Linked DNA regions of Lonchura striata. The protein of the gene in region 1 purifies or fractionates together with the protein of each later gene. This does not show direct contact. Links are inferred from orthologs where the notes say so. Each region holds a gene or a part of one and is shown in the gene's direction. Other genes may lie near its edges. The genes, in order: dnaJ homolog subfamily A member 1 and ENDOG.

Region 1 (7,402 bases):
TAGCTTTGGATTTGTAGAACTGCCTTGTGTATCCACCACCTCCAACTTCATTGTTTTTCTGGGCACAAGCTCTATATCATCATTCTCACAGGAGTCCTCATGTGGCATCTTGTCTGCTTTTGAAACAGTTTTCCCAGACTCTTCGGCAAATTCCACCACATAGGGGTAAAGATTATTTACAATATGCAGAACTTGGCCTGGCTTCATTTTTACCACTTCATCCTTGCCAATATTCACAAGATCAACACTAGTTGGGTTGACCCCTATCTTTGGTAGACAGGAAAAGGAAAAAATAGTAGAAAATTATGTTGTAAGTGGAATCGCCAACTTCTGCTCAGTTCTCCTGGAATACCATTATCCTAGAAAGCAAATGCATTCTGCATTCATCGCCCAGCCTGCCCACATCAACCCACTTTAGCCAACCAGGCAGTGAAGCACTGTGGACGTCTGTTTCTGTCCCAGTCTTGCAGTCACAGCTGTCAGCACACAACCTCAGGGCCTGCCATCAGAAGGAGCCTGGGTCTGCAGCAGCTACACAGTTACAGCATCACTTGTGCTGCACTTCCCTCACAAATTAGACACCTATGAAACAACTAGTTACAACTGTTACATGTAACAACTGTAACAACTGTTACATGAAGTAACAACAGCAACTATTTCTGAAGAGCAACTGTAGTTTTAGCAAATTATTTTTGTGCAATCAAACTGTGTTGTAGGCAACCTACAGAGATTGCTTGACAGATGGATTTTGCATCATCATGTAGGTGACCTTACAAAAATTAGGAGTCTTCAGCAAAATGCTTTTGGTTAATGTATATGCACAAAACGGGTTTTAGGAAATCAGCTCTCTTCTGTGACTGATGAACTCAGAGTTTTTGCTAGCTTTGTCACTGCCATACCTGCATGCTTCACAAGACAGTACTATACCTCTCACTTGGAATTCACTGCAATGAAGCACACACCTGATTCCAGCCAGGATCTCTTTAGTCTACAGCTATGCAGTTTCCCTCAAGTCAAGGATGCTTCCCATCAGTGAATAAAGTATCAAACAACTGATCACTGGAACCTTGTGCCACACATCTCTCACCTGGGGAGCAACTCTTCACACACACAAGCAGCAGTACCAGAGACCTTTCCCTTCCTATTCTCTCAGAGACTGGGTTTTGTAAAGTGTGAGGGAATAGGCCTGCCTCCATCCATCTGGTAACATTCCTGCAGGGCTGTCTTACATCCCATCCCTTCCTATAAGTAACCACATCTCTGGCCCTATCAGTCCACCAATAAAAATGTTCTACAACTGCATAGTCCCATTAACACAAGAACTTCAACCTTAAACAAAGGGCTGCCTCAGCTTATGAAGTTTAAGGCTCAGGAAAAAGATAAGCAAGTTTAGTAGAAGAAGTCCAAAGTCTCTCAAATGCAGCACCCAACAGAACTGATTGAGTACTCACAACAGCATTCCCTGATGCTACAAATCTGGCTGTGTTAGACTGGAATGTATCTGGAATGAATAGTGCAACCTCTCACTGAGGTGCACAAATAAGAAAATACACTTGCTGTAACTTCTCTTGGTGATAAGAAAACTTCAGGTCCCTCAGACACCGTGATTAGAATCACCACTTGGAGCAGTTGTGGAGTTAAGTACAACTGTCCCAGTACCAGAAATATTGGAGATCCATGCATAAAAACATACCTGTTTAACTGTGACATAACCCTTGTTACAGTCTGCTTTTAACTGAACTGGAAAAGAAAGAACAAAGTGTCACAAAACCATGTAAATAAAAAGAACTCTGCTGAACCACCCAGTCCAGAAAACACTCCTCTTTTTGAAGAGCCATATCTTTCTGGAGCTAATCTTTGTGAATGCATGCCAAGAATATTTCTGCCTCATCTCTTCATACCTCTTCTCATACCACAGGTAAAACAGAGTCAACCCATACACTGAGCCAAGGGTGGAATTACTTTGGAACAAAGGTGGATTCTGTTGATATTTATACATATGCTTGACATTCTAACCAGCCCACTGGGACAATAAGGCATAGAGCAAGACTGTGTCCAGAGGCACAGAATATAACACAGGGAAGATGTGCAGTATTAAATAAGTGATAGGTATTTTCATATATTCTCCAAGATCACATTATTTTACATATTAAATAATAATTATGCTAAAAATCAGTTGGTGGAATACTAGGGAGAAGAAGTGCTGCTCATGAAGTGAGCAGTGAAACACAATTGTGGGCCTGGGAACTCACAAAAAGCTTTTGTATGTGGAGGCGGACGTCCTGTCTCTGATTTTGTAGGCCCCAGAGATCCCCATAAGTGCTTATTAAAAAGGCTTGATGACTTCAAGAAGCAGGCAACACTGCAGAACACACAGAGGAACAAGGCACGCTCAGTTGCTGCTGCACGTGGAAAGCAGGATTTGAGCTAAATCACCTTACCTTGCTGACGTGAACACTTCTTATCTGTTATCCCAGTCTCTGGGCCACGCCCAATTACCACAGGTTCCAAGTGTGGCAGTTTCACCCGCTGAGTGCATTTCTCTTTGCTCACAAGCCAGCACATACGCATCACTGTGCTATAGAGCAAAATAAACAGTGTGTTACCAACACGCCACTTTCTGATGGGCTACCTTGCTGTGGAACATGGTCCATGAATTCTGCTACCATTAGGTTAGCCAATTCTATTAACTTGGTTCAAGTTTCTGAAATGCAAAGCAAACCATGTCACCAGCACTTGCATAATCCAAGAGCAGGTTGCTGTTTGAAAGGGCAATACTGTTTTCCTTCCTACACTACCATACATTCTCACATCTGTGAACCATATATAGGAAAAATCAATTTTATTGACAGTTCCATCTGACAGAAGAGCCTAACCACAAAAAACGTCACTTTGTTTCCCACTGAATCAGAGTTCACCGAAGAGATTAATTTAACAACCAAAATAAGAGAGAGCAGCAGAAGACAACACATGATGAGAGAGTTGTGACAGCTTCATCCAGCAACAGTCAGCACACGGACCATGCCATGTAACCTTCAAGCTTACATCAGTTTGACCCTGGTAAAGATCCCTCATGAGCTCTGCACTGGAGAGCTCATGCCTGCGGAAAGCAAGGCTCGGTCCCCAGTCTAACGCTGGCATGCCACACACCCATCCCCACGGCACACGTCCATCCCCACGGCACACACCCATCCCCACGGCACACGTCCATCCCCACGGCACACACCCATCCCCACGGCACACACCCATCCATCCCCACGGCACACGCCCATCCCCACGGCACACACCCATCCATCCCCACGGCACACACCCATCCATCCCCACGGCACACACCCATCCCCACGGGAACATGCCCATCCCCACGGCACACACCCATCCCCACGGGAACATGCCCATCCCCACGGCACACACCCATCCCCACGGGAACACGCCCATCCCCACGGCACACACCCATCCCCACGGGAACACGCCCATCCCCACGGCACACGCCCATCCCCACGGCACACACCCATCCCCACGGCACACACCCATCCATCCCCACGGCACACACCCATCCCCACGGGAACACGCCCATCCCCACGGCACACACCCATCCCCACGGCACACGCCCATCCCCACGGCACACGCCCATCCATCCCCACGGCACACGCCCATCCCCACGGGAACATGCCCATCCCCACGGCACACGCCCATCCCCACGGGAACACGCCCATCCCCGTGGGCCCCGTTCCCATGGCAACGCCTGACCGACCCCTCCCCCTTACCGCGCGCGTGATGTTCGCGCCGCCGCAGCCGCCACTGCAGCCAATCAGCTGTGGCAGCGTGTCTCCCACGTGACTAGAGGGAGGCGCCCGCCGCGGCGCGTAGCTCCGCGCAGGCGCACTGGGCCCGCGCACCCGGGGGTGGGCGCTGGGCCCTCACAAAGGGGCAGTGCCGGCCGGCCTTGCGGCGGCGGAGCCAAGTCTGCGTAGGGTGAGGGGGGTAAGGCGCGGAGCGTTGCCGGAAGGCGACGGCCGGGCCGGCGCTGCGTACCCGGTGCTACTCAGAGCCTTCGAGGGCGGGAGCGGCCGACGGCGCAGGCGCAAGGCGAGGCGGACGCTGGGCAGGGACGGCGCCGCCCACGCGGGGCGGGGCGGGGCCGCGCTCCAGATCGGCGGCGGAGGCGGGCGCAGATTGGCCAAGCGCCTTCCCCTCCTGAGCAGCCATTGGTGGGCCACTCGCCCGGGCCCTGCGCGCGGCGGGGCAGGACTTCCGGGGCGGGGCCGGCTGCTGAAGCGGCGGGGCTGCGGGCCCGGCCCGAACTTTCCAGAAGAGTCGGGATCGGAGCTGCGCGGAGTGGGATCCGCGACCGCCGCCCCGGGACCCCCGTGCCGCCACCGCCATGGTGAAGGAGACCACCTACTACGACGTGCTGGGCGTGAAGCCCAACGCATCCGCCGAGGAGCTGAAGAAGGCCTACCGCAAGCTCGCACTCAAGTACCACCCGGACAAGAACCCCAATGAGGGCGAGAAGGTCGGCGGGACGGGACGGGCCGGGGCGGGGGGGGCCGCGCGGGAGGGGTCGGGCGGGAGGCCCGCCGGGGGTGCCGCGGGTGCCTGAGTGCCGGTGCTGTTCTTTCTGCAGTTCAAGCAGATCTCGCAAGCTTACGAAGTGCTGTCGGACCCGAAGAAGAGAGAGCTCTATGACAAAGGAGGCGAACAGGCTATCAAGGAGGGTGGCTCCGGCGGCGGCTTCGGGTCACCCATGGACATATTCGATATGTTCTTCGGCGGTGGAGGAAGGATGCAGAGGGAGAGGCGAGGTAACGTGTTGGCGAGGGTATCAGATTCTCTGAGGGGAATGCCTTAGATGTAGGAGTTTAAACAGAAATTATAGACTTAATCTGAAAATTGGAGAAAACTCTTGTCCCTTAACACCTGAAACACCAAGGGAGGGCCCTTGGTTGGTGTGGTGGTAGTTGGGTATCCCTGTGCACTGTCCCCTGTTAATCGCTAAAGCAGGTGTGTTCGGAGTACTTTTAGCTTGAGTGTAAGCCCAGCTGCTAGTAGACAAAATAGGAAATGGAAGGGTAAAGTAGCTTAAAATGGTTTACTAATTAAGTTACTGTAACTGTAGTATCTAAAAGCAACTATCTAAATCAGATATCAAGATCCAGTTCAGTCTGTGAAATTTTTCTGTGTTCCTGCACTGTGCAGTGGAATTAAGTTGAAACTGCGGTAAAATGCTACCCAGAAGTTAAACTCCAGTTTAATCACGCTGGGAAAAACTTTAAAGCTGTTAAGAGCAGTGCTGAGCCTGTCACCTCTTAGTGAAGATCTGTTGAAAAGATGAAGAAAAAATGTTTTGTATCAAAATGTTAAGAGTGTCAAAGTACTTGTAATAACCCAGAGCTCAGCATCATTTACAAAACTAGGCCTACAGCAGCTGAAGTGCTAAGGAGTTCTTGAGGGTAAAAATATAATTGCTTATTTTTGCTTCCAGAAGGTCACCTGGTGAGAGGAAGGAAGTGCTGAAATGGAGATTCCAAACAGAGTCTCTGCCTTGTTTGTAGATCTTTTTGGTGACTTTGTTGAAACCTGAGTCCTGCATTATAAAACTTAAACGTTTGAGGTTCTGTGTGTTCTGTTGCTCATACTTGTTTGTACTTTTCCAGAAGGTCTCTTCTGACTTTAACAAAGTCAAAGTCATGACAACTGTTACCTAATATGACAGCACCTGGGAAGAAGCTTTTGACTAATACAAGCAAAACAAGACAAACCTCTATCGATACAAGATACTGAAGCCCAGAGACTTAGTTTATCTTGGCTTGGCAGGGAGATGTGCCAACCAAGCTTCTAAACTTTAATTAAGTTCTGTTCTTTTACAGGTAAAAACGTAGTCCACCAGTTGTCAGTAAGTTTAGAAGATATGTACAATGGTGCGATGAGGAAACTTGCACTGCAGAAAAACATTATCTGTGACAAATGTGAAGGTAATGTTGAAACTGAAATTAAAGAGATGTTTCTAAAGCTTTGGGGGATTTTTTTCTGGTAGCACATAACCACCTAACTCCATTTTTTGTTCTCAGGTCGTGGTGGTAAGAAAGGTGCTGTAGAATGCTGCCCTAATTGTAGGGGAACAGGCATGCAGATCAGAATTCACCAGATTGGGCCAGGAATGGTGCAGCAGATCCAGTCTGTGTGTATTGAGTGTCAGGGGCATGGGGAGCGTATCAGCCCCAAGGACCGGTGTAAGAGCTGCAATGGCAGAAAAATTGTTCGAGAGAAGAAGATACTGGAAGTTCACATTGACAAAGGTGAGGTGTCTTACTGAGGTGAAGTATTGAACTTGAATGTACTGACTGACTTTGCAGCACTAAAACAAAAGCTTTAGCAAATGTGGTGTTGATTTTGTGAGTAATAGTGCTGAATACACAGTAAAATTGCTTACTGCTGCCTTACAAAAGTAGACTTATTTTCTAGGGAAGGTCCACTATCTCTGTTCACTTCTAAAGCCTGGCACATAACTAAGAATGAATTCTGAAACCTGCGTTATTGTAAGAAGTGAATTATTTTTCAGGTCCCTCTAAGCCCAATTTGTGATCAGGTAACACAATCAATTTTCACTGCGTGCAGCAAAACTGCAGACTGATCACTTCCGCTGTGTTTCAGTGTGAAGGGGAGCCAGGTCTGCTATAGTGGCAGGGTGCACAGACAGTGCTAAGGCTCTCATGCTTAAAGCTCTGTTGACTACGCAGCCCTGACAGTGCTGCCCAATGCAGGTACCACTTCCTTGCCTGGCAAAATGCACCTCAATACACAAACCCTCAACGTGATGGGTGAACGGAATGGTATTGAATGACAAATGCATCTCTGTTGAGGGGGCTGCCCAAAAGCTGGTGGGAGAAGTCTGGAGTAATGCAGCTTGTAAGGCAGAGCACGCTGACAAGTACATGACTTAAACGGTCTTGCTTGTGATTATGGCCTGCAGCTGTTACATGTGTAAGCAGAGCTTCTGCAGCACCTGAATTTGTAGGGGAGATCCATAGTGGTAGTAAATATAAGGTCTAGAAGGGATGTATTACTGATATTTTGAACAGGGAAGTCTTATGAGAAGGATGTTTTTATAGAAGTAAGGGAAAAGATTTATGTAGGATAAGAAAGCTAGTATTTTTGTTCAATCGATTTCTTGTGTGGGTGAAACAAGTTTCTTATGGGAGGTTTTCAGTCCATAGGGAATGCTTCTTGGACTTGGCAGGCAATCAGATCATTCTTCATAAGGAGATGCGCTACATATTTATGAAAGTGAAGAAGCTGACTGGTCAACTGCTGTTGAAATAAAGTTTGTACACAGTGTTTGATTTCCTTTTTGTACTTGTGTGTATAATGAAAACTGTTTTGATTATATTTCCCTTTAGGACTT
Region 2 (7,300 bases), on another chromosome or scaffold:
GGAAACACTAGCTGTTAAGGGAGTAACTGAACATGGCTGTATGTTATAATAGGCCAAGAACCTTGTTGTCAAGGTTTGCCTTGCTTAAGTGAAACAATCTGTATCAAGAATGCTGGGAAGTCACTGAAATCCCTTTGCTTCTTTGCCATAGGATTATCCTATCTCTGATGTTCATCTGATTTTGAAGAAGGCAAAGGAACTTCAAGATTCCAAATAGTCCATGGGCCTGACAAAAGGTGTTAGAGAACTGTGTGACAGTGGATCCTGGGAGATGGCCTCTTGCAGTGTGGTGCACTAAAGCTCCTACTGGTCTCTGCAAGACTTCAGGTTTTGTTAGGACTACTGGCCACCTTGAAGACTTCTACTCTATTTATTAGGTCAAGGACTGATTACTTCCCTATCTACTTGGGTCCTGCACTCCAGATTTTTCCACATCTGAAATGCCTCTTTGCTGCCAAAAGCAGCTCTTTGTATCTTTTTTTTAATGACTTTGAGTCTGGGGAGAAAGAAACCTTCTGTCTGCATATCCCTGAAGGGATGGACTCCTGTATTGTGGAAGTACACACGGAGTAACTTCTGATGGAGAAAGGACAGACTTAAGTCCAGTGAATTTTGGTGGGTGAGGATAGAAGGATCTTCCTCCTGTGAATAGAATGTATTCCAGTGAAGTCACACATTCTGCCATTCAAGTAGATTTTGGATTCTTCTCTCTCGTGTCTGCACTTGGCCATCCCTGAAGTGTGTGAAGAAGATTGCATCACTTTCTGGTGAGGGTCACCTGACAGTTTGCACTCCTTTGACTGGGAAAGAGACTTGGGAAGTTGAGGTGGGAGGACACGGTGACAGCTGGTGGCTTTGTGCACTCAAACTGCCTGAATCCAGAGCTGCCTTATCAACGAGGTGTCCTTGAAAGCAAGACTGGTGGTTTTAATCCCCCGCTGAAGTGTAGTTCCAAGTCAAGCCTTACTACGCACAGCCTTAGAGCAGGATTGTTGCTGAAGGGAGGCCTCATGCTGCTCTGAACTGGAGCATATCCAGCTACAATCAGGATTCTGAAACACAAGAAATGGACACCTAATCATGTGCAATGAAGACAGATGTATTTAGGGGCTTATACAGGCACGGAACTGGAGTTTTCTGCCTCAGTGGCTTAAATAATACTATTCCCATTGAGGTCTGGTCACAGTAACCTTGCTATTGTCTCACAGTACTTCTTGCCAGGAAGCGACAGTTCTGATCTGCAATAAGAGTCCTTCTCTAGCACAATCCAGCAGGCACACAGGCATCTGTCATGAGCTGACTGCTGGGGCTGATCCACTGTTCTGTCTTGGTCCTGCTGGAGTCACAGTCCTGAGCTGGACACTTGTTCTCCTGAGAGGGAAATGCTGCACTTCAGGTGACCAGGGACTGAGACAAACCACAGGGAGAACTGCTGACCTGCCACAGTGCCGAGCTGAGCAGAAACTCTAATCCCCAGAGAGAGGAACTGCCAGCACCCAGGTGCTTGTGTGGTGCAGAAGCTTTTGAGTGAACAATAATCCAACATGCTTTCCCCTTTCTTTCTGCGCTGTGCTGGCTCACCTCTGCTGTTGGACTCTGCAGTTTTTGGTATTTATGGGTGTTGATTTGTTAAAGGTCAGTCAGTCTTTGTAATATCTGCTTAAGCTGCTGCTGGCCTAGACTTGCCCTAGCAAGAGGGATGCTGGCAGCCTTGAGGTTTTTTACTGGTGTTATTTCCTTCACTGAAGGCCCTCACAGGCTGCTGTAATTCTCACCAAGGTGCATGGGGAGAGACAGCAGGACAGGTTGGTGTACATACCCATGTTCTTATTGGCAATCCCAAGCAATCTCTGCCTCTTGAATAGATGCTCAAGTACCACTTGTGCAGCCATGTGTTGCTGCTGTGTTGCAAGAGCAATTTAAGGTTTATAGCAATCTCTAATTAATACCTGTGGCAACAGTATCCCTCTCTGCTGCAATCTTTTCTTGAGGGTATAGCTTTCCTCCAAGAAAACTGGGACAGGTAGACCAGGACAGCAGTGTGATGAAGCACCCTGGCTGCTCTGGCCACTGGATGGATGTTCTTTCTGAGCTGCTCCAGGTGGTCTTATGTCTCAGCTCTTGGGTACCTGCACTGGGGAGGCTGTTGGCCAGACCTCGTGTGGTCAAAGAGCCACCTGGGAGGTTCTCTACAGATGTAGAATCACTCTTAGGCAGAACTGTACCTGCTCCAAACACTTCTGCCTCAGAACTGCTGTAAATACTGCAGCTTTCCCATTCCATGCACAAACTCTGCTCTCATCTCCCTGAATCCTTTGCTGGGCTGTTCACTTTGGGCTTCCCTGGCACCTGCAGGGTTTCCTTATGCTGGAAGTTCTTACTGGCAACAGGACCATCCATGAGTGTTCCTGCTCTGAACAGCTGGAAGTCTCCTTAAAGTAACCTGAGGAGGCAGCAGGCAAATTAGGATGAAAGCATTACTTGGAGAGGAACTTCTCCATGTTTTCAGCATAGCTTTGGGCCCTGAGGTGACCATCCCACTGGGGAAGGCACAGGGGAGGTGGCAGCACAGGTGTTGTGCTGTCTTCTCCCTTCCTAGGTGTGCTTTAGAAAGGAGTTTGCAGTGGTTTTAAAGGGATGCAATGAGAGATTTGGCTGCTGGAAAGGATCTCTGGGACAAATTCTGTAGCCTTATCCAAGCTATGGCTGCCAAACCTACTGAGTTCTGTGGGGAGAGCTTGCAACAACTTTGAAATGTCCAGACAGGCTGTTCTGTACATAAAAAGCTGTTTTATATTTGTGCTTATTTCCTTCCTGTGTGGTAGAACTTCTGTCCTGCTGTTGAAAGGAGTGGTGCTTTTCATTGTCTTGGGACATCTATTTCTTTATTCCAAGACTTTCTAATTTCTTTGAGAGTAAAACCAGATTTTCTGACAGGACAGAAGAAAATCTTAACCTTTTACCAACTTTAGAATCTCCTCATGTTTCTCTTGGCTTCATTCGTCAAAGGTTTTTGGTGATTTATTTTTGTTGTTCTTGTAGTGAGACAATACTTAACTGGTGTTTCCTTGCTTGTGTGGCCAAGTAACACCTGCTCCAGCCTTGAGATGTTTCTGCTTCTGGTTTCTTACAGTCCTGACCTGCTGAAAGAACTGATCTTTGGGGTGGGAGGCGTTAGTCTGGGCTGCCTTGGGGACCCATTGTCTCACAGGGACTTGAACAGAGGAAGTTTAAATAGGTATTACCGTGTGCTCCTCGCAGGCAGGACTACTGCCCGACAAGGGAAGGGGAAATCACCTTCAGCTGGGAGGGGAAAAGGACACTCCTGGATGTGGGACATGAGCCTTTCCTGGGAAGGAGAGGTCTGTTCTACCTGCACCTTACTGGAGTTCAAGCTTTGTAGAACTTTGTAGCTTTGCCAGTGATGTGGATCAAGTTGCTGGTGGTGGTTATTCAGGAGACTGATTTTGAGTTTGAATTTTGTGACCTGACCTAGAAGTAATCACACTTTGGCATTGAGAAGAATGAAGGCCAGAAGTTGTTTTGGGGGAGTCTGGGGTGTTTGGGAATCAGAGGCTGGTTTTCCTGAAGGAATGTCAGTGACTTTGTGTTAGCTGTTCAGAGCAGTCTTCTAAAATGCCCTTTCCCCAAAGAAAGGAACAGATAACACTTTTTTTTTCCACTTTGTGAAGAGCTGTGAGAAAAGGGTGTAGTGAACATTTCATCACTCTAAAACTCCTTATTTTATGCTTCTTTTTTCAAACACTATTTTTATAAGTTTTCCTTTAAGTAAACGTATGTCTGTGCAAACCTCTCCTGTTGGTGTGAGTTGGGGCTGCTCCAGGTTCCTGCTGCGGTGTCCGTAGGTGTGACCAGCAGCACAGCGAGCTGCGGGGAGCCCTGGCGAACCCGCCTGGCTCCTCCACCGCCTTCTCCTTTCCGCCATGGCTTTGCTTTGCCTTCCCAGGAATGCGTGGCACAGGTGGCGGTGTTCCCGGTGTCCCGGTGTCCCGGTGTCCCGGTGTCCCTGTGTCCCGTGTCCCGGTGTCCGTGTCCCCGCCGCTGTCCCGGCCCGGGGCCGCTCCCGGCCAAGCGGTCCCGCCATCGCGTTCCCCTTAAAGCGGCGATGCCGCCGGCGCAGCGCGGCGCGCGGGGCCCGAGCCGCGGCCGGTTGAAGGCGGGGCCGCCGCGCGGTGGAGCGGCCATGCTGCGGGCGCGCTGGGCGCTGCCGCTGGCGGTGGGCGCGGGGCTGGGCGCGGCCCTCACCCGCCGGCAGCACCGGGAGCACCGGCAGCGGGGCGATGCGGCCGAGGGGCTGCTGGCCCGCCTGCCCGTGCTGCCCGCCGTGGCAGCGGCCAGCCTGCCCGCGCCGCCGGGCTCGGGGCGCACGGAGCTGAGCAAGTACGGGCTGCCCGGGCTGGCGCAGCTGCGGAGCCGCGAGTCCTACGTGCTGTGCTACGACCCGCGGAGCCGCAGCGCGCTCTGGGTCATCGAGCAGCTCAACCGCGACACGCTCAGCGGCTCCTCGGACCGCGCCGCCTGCGACTTCCAGGAGGACGACTCGGTGCACGAATATCACCGCGCCACCAACGCCGACTACCGCGGCAGCGGCTTCGACCGCGGGCACCTGGCCGCCGCCGCCAACCACAAGTGGAGCCAGAAGGCCATGCGGGACACCTTCTACTTGAGCAACATCGCCCCGCAGGTACGGCCCGAGCCCTGCGGGGAGGCCCGAGCTGCCCGCGGTCAAGGGCAGACGCTGCTCCGTGCGGGAAACCCCCCGGGAGCGTCCCGGTGTCTGCCTGCACTTCAGGCAGAGGGGCCAAAGTCACTCGGAGGTGCCGATTTCCTGCTAAATTTAATAACAGGAATTGTGCAAATGCACCTGTGTGTGTGCGCGCCTCTTAAGCCATGAAAGAGAGACCACGGTCAGTGCAGCTCCTGTCAGGAGCAGAATTAAACAGGTAGATGCACACTTGCTAAAAATTGAGGCCTTAGGCAATGGGTCCTGCCCTGGGTGTGCAAACCAGGCCATCACTGCTCCCAAAGCAGAGGTGATAGTGGAGATTGGGTATGGAAAGTGCTTGGGGCTCTGTGAGATGTGTTACTCTGAACAGTGAGGAAATACTCCAGCAATTGACTACTGGTTGTGTTTCTAGAATCCTCATTTAAACCAGAATGCCTGGAATAACCTTGAGAAGTACTGCAGAAGCTTGGCAAGAAACAACAGGAATGTCTACGTCTGCACAGGACCCCTCTTCCTGCCCAGGTAAACACAGGGGCTGAGCTGGACTGGCACCCAAAAGATGTATTGTGCTGGCAAAGGAAAAGAGGCTAAAGGACCACACAGGAGGCATCTACTAAGGGCCTTCTCAGTAGGTGAGACCAGCTGTGCACAGAGGTTCTGTAGAAAGGTACCTTTTTAGGATTAGTTTATGTATTTCCCATTCAGATTATTATTTCATGAGTCAAGTGGCATTGTTGAGCTGCAGTATAGCCACAGCTTGTTTTTGTTTGCAGTCTTTAACAATTAGTAAATTAGCTGATTACCAGATTAGACTGCTGACCCCATCCCTGCAGAATAAAGCTTTCAGGTTCAGTGTCACAGACTACTTCTCCACTTAAGGACACAATTTTATTTTTCAAGATCTCCACGTAGCACCAAAGAGCAGCTGTCTCATGTTGAGATCTCTTCAGCGGCAGGAAATAGCTTGGAAAGTCTGTTAAAGAGAGCCAGCAGGGAGAGGATTTGGGGGCAGCCCCAATGCACAGCTCACCCTCACCATGTCACATGGCCTCTGCCCCAGCCATGTTTTACAGGCGTGTTGCAGGAGCAGAGCTGCTGCCTCCTGTGGGGGGGCTCTCACTGAGGGGGTGGAGTGACACCAGACTAAGAAATAACCTGGGATGTTGCTGTTGGTGCAGGATGGAGGCCGATGGGAAGATGTATGTGAAGTACCAGGTGATTGGGAAGAACAACGTGGCTGTCCCCACCCATTTCTTCAAGGTGCTCATCTTGGAAAAGGAGAGTGGGGAGATTGAGTTGCGCTCCTACGTGATGCCCAACAGCCCTGTGGATGATAAAATCCCCCTGGAACGGTTCCTGGTTCCCATCGAAAGCATTGAGCGAGCTTCAGGGCTCCTTTTTGTCCCAAACATCCTCAGGAGAACAAGTAACTTGAAAGCCATCACAGCTGGAAAGCAGTGAACCCTAACTAGAGCAAATACAGGTAACCCCTGGCAAGGGACTGGCAGTCACCTGACAATCATAGTTCCTTGTGCAGTTGTGGGAATTAAGATTCAAACCTGTGCTTCTCTCTACCATTCCCCTTGTGTCAAACTGAAACACAGATGCACAACAGGTCTCCAGAGTGGTCCTGCAGGAGGCTCAGGGGCACCTGACACTGTAGTAGCTCTCTAGGATTTGCCCCTAATCTACTGCTGCCTTGGAGTTTTGTGAAGCTCATTGAGGTAGAAAGGGAAGTCAGCTAACTGTTGCTGTTTAGCAGGGAAGGAGGGGAGCAAGGTGGGTGCCAAGGGAGTAGAGAAGTTCCTGCCTTCCTGTGGCTGAATAACTGTGCAATTGTTTTCTTTCAGAAGATGGTTTTAGCAGTAAAGCTTTGAACACCCATGGTATTGGCTGTTTCTTACCTGCTCTCACCAAAGCTCTGAATATCTCAGCAGGAGGAGGAGAGGATGGAGCCAACTTTTGCAGCTGCTTTCCTGTCTGAGCTCACTGTAGGCAGAGCTTAAGGCATCACAGACAGAGCCAGACTGTAATGAGATGATGTGTTTTAGTGCTGAGGCTCAATTGAAGCTCCAGCCTTCCTGCTGTTGGGAAAGATGAAGCCTTGAAGGGGGGCTGGGGGAAATCAGGCTGAGGCAGGAACAGTTTCTTAGCATAAGTTCTGACTTTGTTTCAGTCTGAAGGCCACATCGCTCCAGAGGCACTGCCTGAAGACACACACCTGGAATTCGCAGCAACTGAGGTTCCACACTGTTTTATTCCCACCCAGATGTCTGAGTTGCTGAGACCAAGTCTGCTCGTGCCAGCTGCTGGGAAGCAGCAACCAGCTCTTGGCTGGACTGTGCAGGCAGGAGGGCACAGACTTGCTGCTCCTAGCAGCAGTGAATTCCTGGTTGGGTGTTGTGGCACATCCACAACCAACCTCTGTGAGCCACCTGCACTCCCAGAGCACGCTTGCTTAAACTGCTGACAAATGAGGCGAGAGACGGGTCTGTGTGGAGCTCCAAACCTGGTTTATTACAATGAAGAGGGTTCCAGGACAGAGACAAAACG

What was found.
Region 2: the proteins of dnaJ homolog subfamily A member 1 (region 1) and ENDOG purify together in Homo sapiens (affinity purification with mass spectrometry; 3 studies listed by BioGRID and IntAct, counting the BioPlex papers as one, with this or other methods). This does not show direct contact. The link is inferred for Lonchura striata from reciprocal best matches to the Homo sapiens genes DNAJA1 and ENDOG.

Annotation. Positions count from the first base shown.
Region 1 is NC_134642.1:48,010,242-48,017,643, reverse strand, and holds the start of dnaJ homolog subfamily A member 1, read left to right. Parts: upstream 1-4,233; 5' UTR 4,234-4,381; coding exon 4,382-4,513; intron 4,514-4,624; coding exon 4,625-4,802; intron 4,803-5,867; coding exon 5,868-5,972; intron 5,973-6,068; coding exon 6,069-6,296; intron 6,297-7,402. Other genes in the region: APTX (aprataxin), read right to left, coding at 1-267, 1,694-1,740, 2,442-2,578, 3,412-3,593.
Region 2 is NC_134624.1:307,333-314,632, reverse strand, and holds ENDOG (endonuclease G, mitochondrial), read left to right. Parts: upstream 1-4,204; coding exon 4,205-4,705; intron 4,706-5,159; coding exon 5,160-5,269; intron 5,270-5,925; coding exon 5,926-6,208; 3' UTR 6,209-6,631; downstream 6,632-7,300. Other genes in the region: TBC1D13 (TBC1 domain family member 13), read left to right, coding at 152-217. UniProt on the Homo sapiens protein: Endonuclease that preferentially catalyzes the cleavage of double-stranded 5-hydroxymethylcytosine (5hmC)-modified DNA.